Linked DNA regions of Canis lupus familiaris. The protein of the gene in region 1 binds, or shares a complex with, the protein of each later gene. Links are inferred from orthologs where the notes say so. Each region holds a gene or a part of one and is shown on either strand. Other genes may lie near its edges. The genes, in order: NMT1, HPCA and AIFM3.

Region 1 (3,643 bases):
CTGTTATGATCGCTCTACAACAAAAATTTTATCATCTCTCTCCCCAGCTAAAAATCTTTCAGCAGCTTCCAAGAGTCTTCAGGATAAAACCCAACTCCCTTAGTGTGGTGTCCACATCCCTTCCTGGTCTGACTCCTGACTGCCTCTCCAGGCTCAACCTCCAAAATGCTCATATAATTCTCTCTGCAGGACCTCAACAGCACCCAACTCTGCCCTCCCCCCACCCCATTTGTCTGGTTCCCCTTTGAAAACTTAGCTCAACCATCTTTCCCCTTTCATCTTTTCCCCTGTAGAACCCCTTTCCCCAGGTTAAAGGTCCCTCCAGGCTCCTGCTACATCTGGTGTTCCCTCTCTCTCACACACTTGCCATAAATGTCAATCTGCATAGCTACCAACTTGTGGAGCAAAGCCAGGATGGGGACTGTGTTGTTCCATCCAGATTCTCTAGTTCCTGCCATAAAGCCTGGCAAGTGGTGAGTGCTTCAAGGTGTTGAATAAATGAATCACAACCTGGCCCATTCTTTCCTAGGCCCATTAGAAGAAATGGATCTCTGATACACTGGGACTACAGCAAAGGCCTACATCTGTGATGGATGTCATGAGAAAGTTTTTATCACAGGTAATGCTGACCTCCTGGGAAGGGAAATAATAATTTATTAGGTATTGACTGTCTCAGACACTTTACTGTTTTGCCTACATGGTCTCATTTTACAGGTGAGGACATTGAGTCTCAGAGAGGTTAAGTGGCTTGCCTAAGGTCACTTGTTAGGCAGAGGTAGAACCAGGATTTAGAACCCAGGAAGTTAAGACTCTGAAGCCTGTTCTCTTAATCACTATATTCTACTGTCTTCAGTAAAAACTGTGAGGGGATAAAAGATGTATCCACAGTCGGGAGTAAATTCCAGAATCTGCAAAAGTTTCACAGGCACATTCCTCAGCCACTCTTTGGGCCGTGCTGTACCCCACTGCCTTTGTAGAATGCTCCTGCCAGAATGGGGCGGGGGTAGGGTGGGGTAGAAAAAGCCAGCAGAGCTAGACGGGAGAATCCTGCTATTTTAATGTGATGAGGCACTCAGAAAGCTGGGAGTGTTTACCTTGGAAAAAGAAGTTTAGGGAACTAGAAATCAATTGAAGAACATGTAACAATTATGTAAAGGGCAAGGATTATATGCTTCCACATTAATTGCATAAGGCAGAACTTGCCCAACTTTCCACCAATGAAAACAGTCTGAAAGTGGAAGTCTCTCTGTTATGGGGGTAGGGAAAAGGAACAAATATGAGAACTCTTGGGATCCCAAAAAACCATCCATAGACCCAATTTAGGAAATTACACTGTACTACTTTTGATGATCATTCCCAACATCACAACATTCTCGGAAGTAAACTTACATACTAAAATCACATGTAGCAATATTCATTTTTCGGTGGTCATTTTTAAAAAGTATCACATATACTCAATTTCTTTTAAAAACCATAACATTTAAACTTTATTACAGAGAAAGAATGGATTCTACAAAATCGAAGTGAGCATTCTAACTTGAAAGATCCTGAGAGGGGGGATTAGTGCCTTTCAGGTGCCTTTGAACTCAAATTCTCAAAGGTGCTGGATTCCAGAACTTTGGACTGGTACTTGCATTCTGAGCTTGGGCATGACAGTCACATTGCCTGCCTATCTACCTCCCAGAAAGACTCTCCACTGAGCAAAAACTGCTCAGTTTGCAGTAAAATACACAGTAATACCTTTCTTAAGCTTTGAACTGCAAGAATGGCAGGGTCCACAGTGGACCCTATCATCACTCTTCCCTGGTCATGTTTCATTCACTTGTGTTCAACATCTGCCTATCAGTGAGAAAAGAAAAGACAGGGTTGGGAATTAGAATACCAGATGTGGATTCTGGTTCTGCTACTAGGTATCGTCATTTTTTTCTTTTTTTTTTTTGCAGGTGAGGACAAGTCCCAATTTTCTTCAAGTCCCCTTCCCTCCCTACTTTGCAAGGTCCCATGAGCTACAGCAGGTGGAACACGTACAAGTTAAAGCCATCTAACACACGGAATGCTTTATTATTATTATCTCTGACCTCTTCCTCAGGCCTGCAGCTGCATATAAGACATCATATTAATTGCGATCTTGGTCTTGGGAGAGATGAGTGTGGGTGCCAGCACTCAAACTGAGTGGGTGTAAGTCAGAGATAAATGACTGGGGATTATCTGTTGTTTCGGATCATATTTACTTCTATTCTTGCCACTGAGAAAAATGAAGCAGGACAATATTTAGCTCCCTTTTTGTTTCCCTGAGTCAAATGGGAAGGGTTTCTTCCCTGTTTCTCCCTCTTTCTACCTTGAGAGTTTCCTGATGGCAAAGACCAGTCCTTTTTTTGTGGGCACTGGTCCTCAAGACTCAGGTGCAATTACTCAAACACAGGGGTGAGACCCAAGGGATTGAAGCATTTAGTCAATGCTAAAACTAGATTAAGATGTCACAATTACTTTCTAATAACTGATTTTCTTGGGTGGATGAAACAATGGGGCTTTTGTAGTATCAAAGAATTCAGAGGGCCAAAGGGGCCTACAGATCCAAATTTGTACACTGATTTTGCCACTTATTTGCTATGTGACTGTATGATTGACCACCCAATCTGGGCCACAGTTCTTTGCCTGTGCCAAAGGGTAATAATAATACAAACGCACTTTCTCAGCTTGTTGAGAGGATTAAATGTGATATACGAAAAGCCTCACCCCAGAACCTGGCATAGAAGTGCTCATTAAAAAGTGGATATGGAGAATCCTAAGGGCACTGTGTGAGCTTCGTGGAGACCAAGAAGCGGCAAAGCCTGACAGAGCAGTCAGGGCTCCTGGCTCAGGATCAGTGCTCTGCGCACCACGATCCACCGCCTCTGGAGAGGCCTCGGATTCCCAAGGAAGAGGGGCCACCTAGAGTCCCGAGTGAGGAGAGGCGGCCAGGAGCCAACCTGGCTTCTTACAGCAAAGGCTCTCCAAGAAGGCCCGACGCATTTCGGGCTCCCGGTGGGTACCACCCGCAGGCCTCAGGCCTCATTACTTACCCGGGAATGGTAACGGTCCTTAACGGCAGCCAATAACGGCTCACCTGTGGCCCAGGCACTGACAAGGGCAGGCTGAGGTCAAACCTTGTATTTTGGCGCCTCATCCCGAAACCCTAAGCAAGGACCGAACTACAATTCCCAGCATGCCACGCGGCCGCCCCATCGCGTAGCGTCGGCCCCGCCAACCTTGGGGCCCCTCTTTCCTCAAAACGCGGCTGATCGCCCAGGACTTCCGGGTAGTGCTGGCCCCCAGCCAGGACAGCCCCCTTCATGATTTCTGGGTATTGTAGTCACTTTGTTCCGGTTTCGCGAGAATGAGGTGTTCCTCGTTACGGCTCCCTTCGCCACAAAAACTACAAAACCCAGAATAAACCGCAAGTTCCTTTCGTCCAATAGGAACCCCCTATGTAGCGAGGCGCGGAGGCCGGCTCTCGCAACTCAAGATGGCGGACGAGAGTGAGACAGCAGTGAAGCCGCCGGCACCTCCGCTGCCGCAGATGATGGAAGGGAACGGAAACGGCCATGAGCACTGCAGCGATTGCGAGAACGAGGAGGACAACAGCTACAGCCGGGGGTAACGA
Region 2 (3,743 bases), on another chromosome or scaffold:
ACTGGGGGTCCCAACACCAGAGCCAAGACACACAGATGAACTGATGTTCTAGAGGGCCCAATTGGCCCCCATCCCTCCGCCTGGCTCCCCAGCTCCTACAGCTGAGACCTCCCCATGCTCATGCAGGAAGTACTAAGGCTAGACTTCTAACACCTAAACTGCCTGGTCTAGGACCTGGAGGTGGAGCTTTGGTCTGAGCCCTGGAGAGGCGGGGGTCTCCCAGCTGCTGCCACTGAACTGGCAGGAGCTATGCGGTCAGAACGCAAATGCTGTGGGCTCACCTTCAAAATAACCAGACCCATCTCTCTCACCCTGAAATGGTCCCCTGCTTCTACCCTGGCCCCCACTCCTCAAAGTCTGTTCTTGACAGAATGCCCTGAGTTAAGCTTGACCTGAAAGTCAGACCCTCACTCTGCTCAAAGCCCCAAGAGCTTTCCATCTCACCTGGAATAAAATCTAAAGTCTCTGGGATGGTCCTAAGCAGCACCACCACCCCAACCTCTGAACACCAACTTTTCCCCAAACACTTATCTAATACATCATAGGATTGACTTGTCTATTCTGTCCATTGTTTACTGCCCGCTTCTGTAACCCCACTGCCTAGAACAATGCTGGGCACAGAAATAGTGCCTGATGAACATTTGTGCCATGAATGGATGAGGCCATATGGAGTCAAGCCCAAGCCTTCCACTCACCAGCTGTGAGACATGGGGAAAAATCATTTAACCCCTCTGAGGGGTTGCTCATTTGTGAAGAGGGGACAGTAAGGACCACCTCCTAAAAATAAAGGAAAAACTCAAGCCAAGGATGTGGGGATTGTTGCAGAAGCTGGGGGAAGGAGGATGCAGCCTCCATCCTGGCAGGAGGAGCTGTGATGGGGGTCAGGGACTCGGGAGAAGGGCTGTCCTGTCTACAGGTGAGGTCCCTACGCACTTCAGAACCCCTCCAGACTGAAGATGCTCCCCAGTCCTCACCTAGGACCAGAGGCGGGGGAGGAAGGGTATGGGAGGAGCAATTTAGATCAATGTTGGGAGGTGGGATTCATTCTGAGAGGAGCCCAGGTAGGAGATCCCGGGCGGTAGGCAGGAGATGGGGGCGGGGCTCTCTAAGGCCGAGGTAGGGTAGGGGGCGTGTCTTTCCCCCGAAGACCTCCGGGACCGGAGGAGTGGGCGCTGCCCCTCGCGGAAGAGCCTCCTGCTCAATTAGTTCCCGAGTTGAGGCGCGGGGGCAGGGAAGGTGCCTATCCAACCGCCCAGGCTCCGGATTCCGCCCGCGGAGCGACGTGCAGCTCCGCGCACAGGTAGGGATGGGGCAGGAAGGCGGGCGGAGCTGCCGGGGTTGTCCCCGGTTCGGAAAGAGGTCTCTGGGCAGTGACCCCCCCGACCCCATTCGGGCTACCTGATCGAGATGCTGAGGAGATGGAAACCTCTGTCCTCCCCCGGCGGGCGCTCCCTCACGAGGGGGCCAGGGAAGTGAGGGCGTCCCTTCCCCTCTCCCGGGCAGGGACGGGGGCGGAGCCAAGCGCACCGCCCCCTCCCCCCTCCGGGGCTGCAGGGGAAGGGGAGGAACGGGGACCCCCCCAGGGGAGGGGCTCCGGGCGAACGCCGCGGGGCGTCTCCCTGGCAGTCCCTCCCCCCGCCCCCCGCCCGCCCCTCCGGCCGCCTCTGCCGCCGCGCGCCGCAGCAGCGCCGCCTTCCCTGCGCAGTCGGTGTCTCCGCGTCGCTGGGTGAGTGGGGGCCGCTCCGGCCGGGGCCGGGGGGTGCAGGGAGGGGGCAGCCCAGAGGGAGGGGGCCCCGTCGAACCTCTCCAGCCCCGCCGCTCGCGCGCCTCCCGGGAAGCCTCCCGCCCAGGGCGCGGGGGGGAAGGGGGCTCCCCCGGGGAAGGAGCGCGGCGCTCTCCAGGGTCCTGACCGCCGAGTGGCCAGCGGGGAGGAGTCGCGTTCTGGTCGCCTCGGAGCGCCCCCTCCAGGAGGGGCCCCGCGCCCGGCGCTCTGAAGCGTGGGCTCAGGGCGAGAACTGGGGAGAGGTTTGGAGAGGATCCCCGGGGGTGAGTTGCTCAGGTCGAGCCGTGGGTCCTTCCCATCTGGGGGACGAGGGAGTCTTTGCGGAGACAACAGATTCTCCTACCACCCTCGTTTCCAAGTCTCCCGATTGGGAGGGGCAGCTCTGAGGGTGGCAGGGAGGAGGGGGCACTGGAGGATCTCTCCTGCTCAATGCATCTCTCAGCCCCCGCCCCGATGACCCAGTTCCTTGGACCTTGAGGAGGGGACTAAGGGACACACTCCTCCGCCCCAGCCCAACGCATTTCCTCAGTCCCCCCCCCCCCCCCCACACACACACTTGTTCATTGGGTCCTCAGTCTGGGGCAGAAGAGGCTGCTTTAGAAAGGAGGGTCATCAACTTACAAAAACATGCATGTGACACACTGCTGAGGACACACACAAGTCCCCCAAATGGCCATTCAGGCACATCCCCCTCATACTGTGATGGGTGCATACCTAGTCACATGCACATGTATGGACTGAAACACACGGGAGTCAAAGGCAATGCAGAAACCAGGGGCATATGTGCATACATGAACGCTAGCACTCACACAGATGCTCATCCACATGTGCACAGAGCTTCATGCAGATGCACACACAAGGAACCCCTTCATCCTGTCTCACTCCCAGTGCCAGGCTGCGAGGAGGGAGTCACCTGCATGCTCCCCTACATCCCTGCCTGGAACTGCCTGGCTGTCTCCTCTCCCTTGCCTTCCCCTCAGCCATCCACACCCTAAACTCCTACATGAAAAGGTAAGTGTTGGGGGAGGGTTGGCTGGCCGGGGCTCTCCCTGGAAGAGAGGCCCCCCAGTAGGTCTGAGAAGGGTTGCGGCTCCCTCTCCTGGGACCTAGAAGCACCCCTGGGAAAAGAAAGATGGCAAGGGTTCCTGAGGGTTCCACGTGCAGCTGGCCATGTGAGAGGTGTCGGCATGGGAGTTGGCTTGTGATGGCATGTGTGAGACATGTGGGGTCGTGGGCTGGTGTCTTGATGCATAGGGTATGGGAGCTGTTCGTGAGTGGTGCCGTGTGTCAGAACATGTGAGTTGTGGAGCAGAGGGAATGCTGTCATGTGTGGAGGCATGGTGACCCATGGGTGGCTGTGCGCTGGTGTGTGAGTGGCATGGGAGCCAGTGTGTGGATTTGGTGAGTTGTGTACCACAATTTGTGTGTGTATTCATTTGTATATTGTTGTGCATAAGTCTTGTGGCACCTGGGTCCATGTAAATCATTTTTATTTAACACTTACATAGCACATATATGTGCAGGCATCACTGTAAGTGCTTCACATGTATTAACTAATTCAATCCCCATAATAATGAGGTAGGTACTATTACCCTCGCTTTACAGATGGGGCAGAGAGAGTATAAGAAACTCGTCTAAGGCCACCTAGCTGGTAAGAGGCAGAGCTGAGGTTTAAACCCAGGTGGTCTGGTTCTGTTGCCTAGGTTAACATCTACCTTACTTGGGCCTTTGTCAGGCACACATGTGTGGAAGAGAGAACAGGATAATAGGTCAGTGCCTGGGCTGCAGGTGTATTTTGTAGTGAGCAGACATATGTGAAGCAAAGAAGGAGCAGGAGGGAGGAGGGAGGACCAGAAGGCCTATTGCACCTCCCTGGGCAACTCTGGGAGTCAGCCCTATCACTCCATGGCTATGTGACCTGGGCCAGATCTCCTTACTTCCTTGAGTCTGTCTTCCCATC
Region 3 (3,743 bases), on another chromosome or scaffold:
TGCAGGTGACTGTTACCCCTGTCACTTTTTGGTCATCCTTACAGGACAGCAAGGCCCAGAAAGGGGAGAAGGGGCAAAAAAGCCAACAGAAGGCACCAGATAGGACAGAGTTGGTGGGCTCTGATGTACTTAATGGTAGATGTGACATCGTTTCCCTGGAAAGTGTCATTCATTCATTTCCCACATAGTCACTGGATCCGTTTGCTGGAGGCACAAGCTCTGCCTGGACACAGTGCAAAGATGGAGACAATCGGGACCCAGAAACACGAGGTAACCAGGAGCCAGGATATCCCGCCTGATCAACTCAGTCTAGGAAGACTGGTCAGGGAGGGCTTCCTGGAAGAGGGGACACAACCCCAGGGCGCATCATGATTTATAGGGACCCGGGACGTTCTCCTGATATAATGACAGATGGGAAAAAGAAAATGTAATAAAATATAATTTAAGATAGACCTTATGAAGTGTGGGGACAGGGGAGGGAGCCAAGAGACCAAGGAGACTGAGCCCCCAAAGGGAGTCAAGGTACCTACGGAGCAGTCGCTGGAAGGGGATTTGGGGTTTCCTTCTTGGGGAGGCTAGACTCCCACTCCTCACGTCGCTCAGGATTCGAAAGACAGGAAAGAAGGAGGAACGAGCTCGGGACCCGGCGCGCCGCCCGGCTTGGCGCCCCTCTAGGGTCCAGGGGATCCCCGGGAAGCCAGACCCCGCTGGGGGCGTCCGCGGCCAGAAGGGCCCCGCCCCCGCCCGGGCCCGACCCCGACCCCGACCCCGACCCCCCGCCTACCCGCAGGGACCCGGCGGGGCGGTGCTGGGCGCCGCGGGCTCCCGGCCGCAGTGTCGCCGCAGCGCCGGCCCCGCCCCCGCCCGCTCCTCCCCCCCCCCCCCCCCCCCCGCGGCCGCGGCCCCGAGCGGCTCCAGAGCGGAGGCCCGCGCCGAGCCCAGGTGAGCGCCCGCCCCGGGGACCCCCCGGCCCCCGGTCCCGGGAGACCCCCTCACCCCCGGCCCTCGGCCCCGCCGCCCCGCACGCCGGCCCCGCGCGATGGGGGCTGGGGTAGGCGGCCGGGGAGGGGGACCAGCGGGGGCCGGAGCGTCTCGGCCCCTTCCCCGCTGCCCCCTCCGCGCTCGCCGCGGGGCCCTACTGTGTGCCCGACCCCCTTCCCGGCCGCCCGCGTGGGCGAGGGCGAGGGCGCGGGCGAGGGCGAGGGCGAGGTCCTCCCGCAGCGAGGGGACCGCACGTGCCAAGGCCCGGAGAGTGCGCGGGAGGCGGGCGCCGGCCCGGGGGAGCGGGTGAGGGCGGGCAACCCTGACTCCGTTGCCAATCCCAGGGAGGCTGGAGGCCACGGAGGGCCCCGACTGGAGAGCATCCCCCCATTTCTGCCCAGCCTGCGCTGGCCTGGGGGGCGGCGCCCAGGGGAACAGGACCCAGGCTCCTGGTGGGTACTTAGCCCTTGGGCGCTGTTACAACTTCTCAGCACTGGGTAGTGTGTGGGCAAGGGACAGCACCCCACACAAAATCCTGGGGTGCCTCCTGCTGCTCCACGGGCAAGAACCTTTGCCTTTGAGGCCGCAGGGCTCCAAGGGCCTGCACACAGTAGGCCTGGAGGCCTTTCAACCCCCAGCAAATCTCTTTCCAGACCCCAGGCCCCGGGAGGGCCTAAGACATCTGGGCGTCTGGGAAGGGAGAAACAGCCTAGATAGGGACCTGGCAGCGAGCGGAGGTCCCAACTTTTCTGACTCCTGCGGCCCAGCAGGTGAAGCCTGAGACCTGGCAGGAAGGAGGTGGGCAGGGCTGAGCCAGAGGAGAAGCCAGGATCTGGGGAGGGGCCCCCTTGCGCCCAGGGAGGGGCCGGGTGGGGCAGGTGGGAGCCAAGTCAGGTGTGGTGAAGGGGGAAACGGTAGCGGTATGCCCAAGTGGCCTTTGGGTGCCGCTGCCCCCTGAACTGTAGTGGGTGGGTCTAGCGCAGGTAAGATCAGGTGCCAGGCAGTAGACGATCCCTCCCCACTTTTCCTCCTGTCTTCTTGGTCCCCTTGCTCTCAGGCACCCACTCAAAGCCTTTGCTGGGATCTGGGCAAGACCAAGGAGGCCCCAGCCCCACCTCAAGTTAGACTTCAGGAAGAACTTCCAGGGGAAACACAGTGGGACGGACCAGGGGGAGGTCATTTGTAAACAGGGCAGCTACACCTTTGTCCAGAGCCTTCCAAAGTCCAGTCTATAAGCTGCATCTTCTGGAAGGCCCACCCTGTGGCCATGAGGACTCTTTGGCTGCAGGGATCTCTTTGCTGACCCGGTGACCTCTCCCCCAGCCCTGTCTCTTGCAGGGTGTTATGGGGGCTTCCTGGGTCCCTGCCCATCTTGAAACTAACCAAGGGGGGTGGGAGGCCGCCTGGTTGCCCCTGCCTGCTGCTTGACCTTGCCAAGCCCTTGGCCTCTCAGTTTCTCCATCTGCTGTTGGTTGTGATCTCAGCACCGCAGCCCGGAGGGCATTTGTGGAGGGGGGGCTGCGTCCAGGGTGGGAGCTCATGGCTGCTGGGCATGGGCAGTGTGCCTGGCCTCCCGTTCCCCCAACCCCATCAGGCCTGGGCTGGCCGCCCACTTCTGTTCACCATGGAGCTGGGTTTCCCTGGGGACCAGTGGACTGGCCCAGCCGCACCCCCCCAGTCTCTCCTGGCCTCACTCACACTGGGAGGAGGGGTGGAGGCTTGGACCCCTGCCCCCCCTTGCCCTGCCTTCCAGGGCTGGGAAGCCTCCATCCAGGAGGAAGAAGCAGTGGCTGCCCCTGGAGGAGGTGGGTATCCAGGGGCTGCCAGCCAGGGTGGGGGCCAGGGCCCAGAACTAAATGTGACCCCCATTGTAGGAAGGAGAAACCGCAGGATCAGGAGGGCTCTGATCTGCCTGAGGAGACCTAGGGTCCGACCCCAGGCGTGGTGGCCTCCCTGAAGAATGGAGAGTTCCAGGGCTCCCAGGCTGCTGGATTTCCAGTGGGCTCCCGAAATCAGGATTTACCCAACAAGGCAGCTGTGGCCCTGGACCTGAAAGAGACGCTGAGATCTGAGCAGAGGGCCCCCTTGGCAGTAGGCACAGCCCACAGGCAAAGATGGGAGGGGAGAGTGAGGGTAGCGAGCCGGAGGGCCTCCAAAGGGAGGTGCCTGCCAGGGTCCCCTACATATGCAGTGTTTCCCAGCTCAAATGTGCGCGTCTTCTGGAAGCCCTCCCCCAGTGTCTCTCCCCACAACCCCCATCAAAGCCCTGGTCCCTACAGACGCCCCTTGTCTCCCCTGCAGGTCCTGGAGGCAGCTCCAGCAGGAATGGCAGCTCCAGCATCTCTAAGGGCCATGGGGAGTCCAGCCCCACCTGGGGCACCCTAGGCCTCCCACAGCCTTCCATCTGCGTACCTGCCCCCCCATTGATCTGTGGGCCACTCGCCATGGGTGGGTGCTTCTCCAAGCCCAAGCCAGGTACCTCCTCTCTTCGCGCCTCATTCTTCCCCCTCCCTGCCCCCTCCCTGCCCCCTCCCTGCCCCCTCCTCCTCCCTGCCTCCTCCTCTCTCCTCCCTCCCTTCTCCAGCCACCTTCCTCCTCCCCTTCCCCCCTCCGCCTCCAAAGTAGGTCAGGCTGGGCGGCAGCCTGCTCTGAATATTAATTCCCTGCAGGCAGGAGGGGGTGGGGGGCCTGGAGCCTTCTCTTGGCCCCCGTCCAGTGGGTCCCCCTCTTTATTTGGGGCTTTGGGGGCTTCTGGTGGGAAT

The links.
Region 2: the proteins of NMT1 (region 1) and HPCA are in contact, whole or in part, in a crystal structure (PDB 7OWM), measured with the Homo sapiens proteins. The link is inferred for Canis lupus familiaris from reciprocal best matches to the Homo sapiens genes NMT1 and HPCA. Residues at the interface, in NP_066565.1 of Homo sapiens: Tyr180, Val181, Glu182, Asp183, Asp184, Asp185, Met187, Phe188, Arg189, Phe190, Tyr192, Ile245, Asn246, Phe247, Thr282, Ala283, Gly284, Tyr296, His298, Ser300, Lys310, Phe311, Ser312, His313, Tyr401, Leu403, Ser405, Tyr420, Gly468, Ile469; in NP_002134.2 of Homo sapiens: Gly2, Lys3, Gln4, Asn5, Ser6, Lys7, Leu8, Arg9.
Region 3: the proteins of NMT1 (region 1) and AIFM3 are in contact, whole or in part, in a crystal structure (PDB 6SJZ), measured with the Homo sapiens proteins. The link is inferred for Canis lupus familiaris from reciprocal best matches to the Homo sapiens genes NMT1 and AIFM3. Residues at the interface, in NP_066565.1 of Homo sapiens: Tyr180, Val181, Glu182, Asp183, Asp184, Asp185, Phe188, Arg189, Phe190, Asn246, Thr282, Ala283, Gly284, Tyr296, His298, Phe311, Tyr401, Ser405, Ile469, Gly470, Asp471, Asn473, Leu474, Leu495, Gln496; in NP_001373743.1 of Homo sapiens: Gly2, Cys4, Phe5, Ser6, Lys7, Pro8.

What each region holds. Positions count from the first base shown.
Region 1 is NC_049230.1:18,342,023-18,345,665, reverse strand, and holds part of NMT1 (glycylpeptide N-tetradecanoyltransferase 1), read left to right. Parts: intron 1-529; 5' UTR 530-619; intron 620-3,062; exon of another isoform or gene 3,063-3,343; intron 3,344-3,458; 5' UTR 3,459-3,505; coding exon 3,506-3,636; intron 3,637-3,643.
Region 2 is NC_049223.1:67,862,040-67,865,782, reverse strand, and holds the start of HPCA (neuron-specific calcium-binding protein hippocalcin), read left to right. Parts: upstream 1-1,067; 5' UTR 1,068-1,300; intron 1,301-1,644; exon of another isoform or gene 1,645-1,726; intron 1,727-1,897; exon of another isoform or gene 1,898-2,046; intron 2,047-3,743. UniProt on the Homo sapiens protein: Calcium-binding protein that may play a role in the regulation of voltage-dependent calcium channels. May also play a role in cyclic-nucleotide-mediated signaling through the regulation of adenylate and guanylate cyclases.
Region 3 is NC_049247.1:30,699,240-30,702,982, reverse strand, and holds the start of AIFM3 (apoptosis-inducing factor 3), read left to right. Parts: upstream 1-889; 5' UTR 890-942; intron 943-1,329; exon of another isoform or gene 1,330-1,433; intron 1,434-2,653; exon of another isoform or gene 2,654-2,786; intron 2,787-3,282; 5' UTR 3,283-3,425; coding exon 3,426-3,456; intron 3,457-3,743. UniProt on the Homo sapiens protein: Induces apoptosis through a caspase dependent pathway. Reduces mitochondrial membrane potential.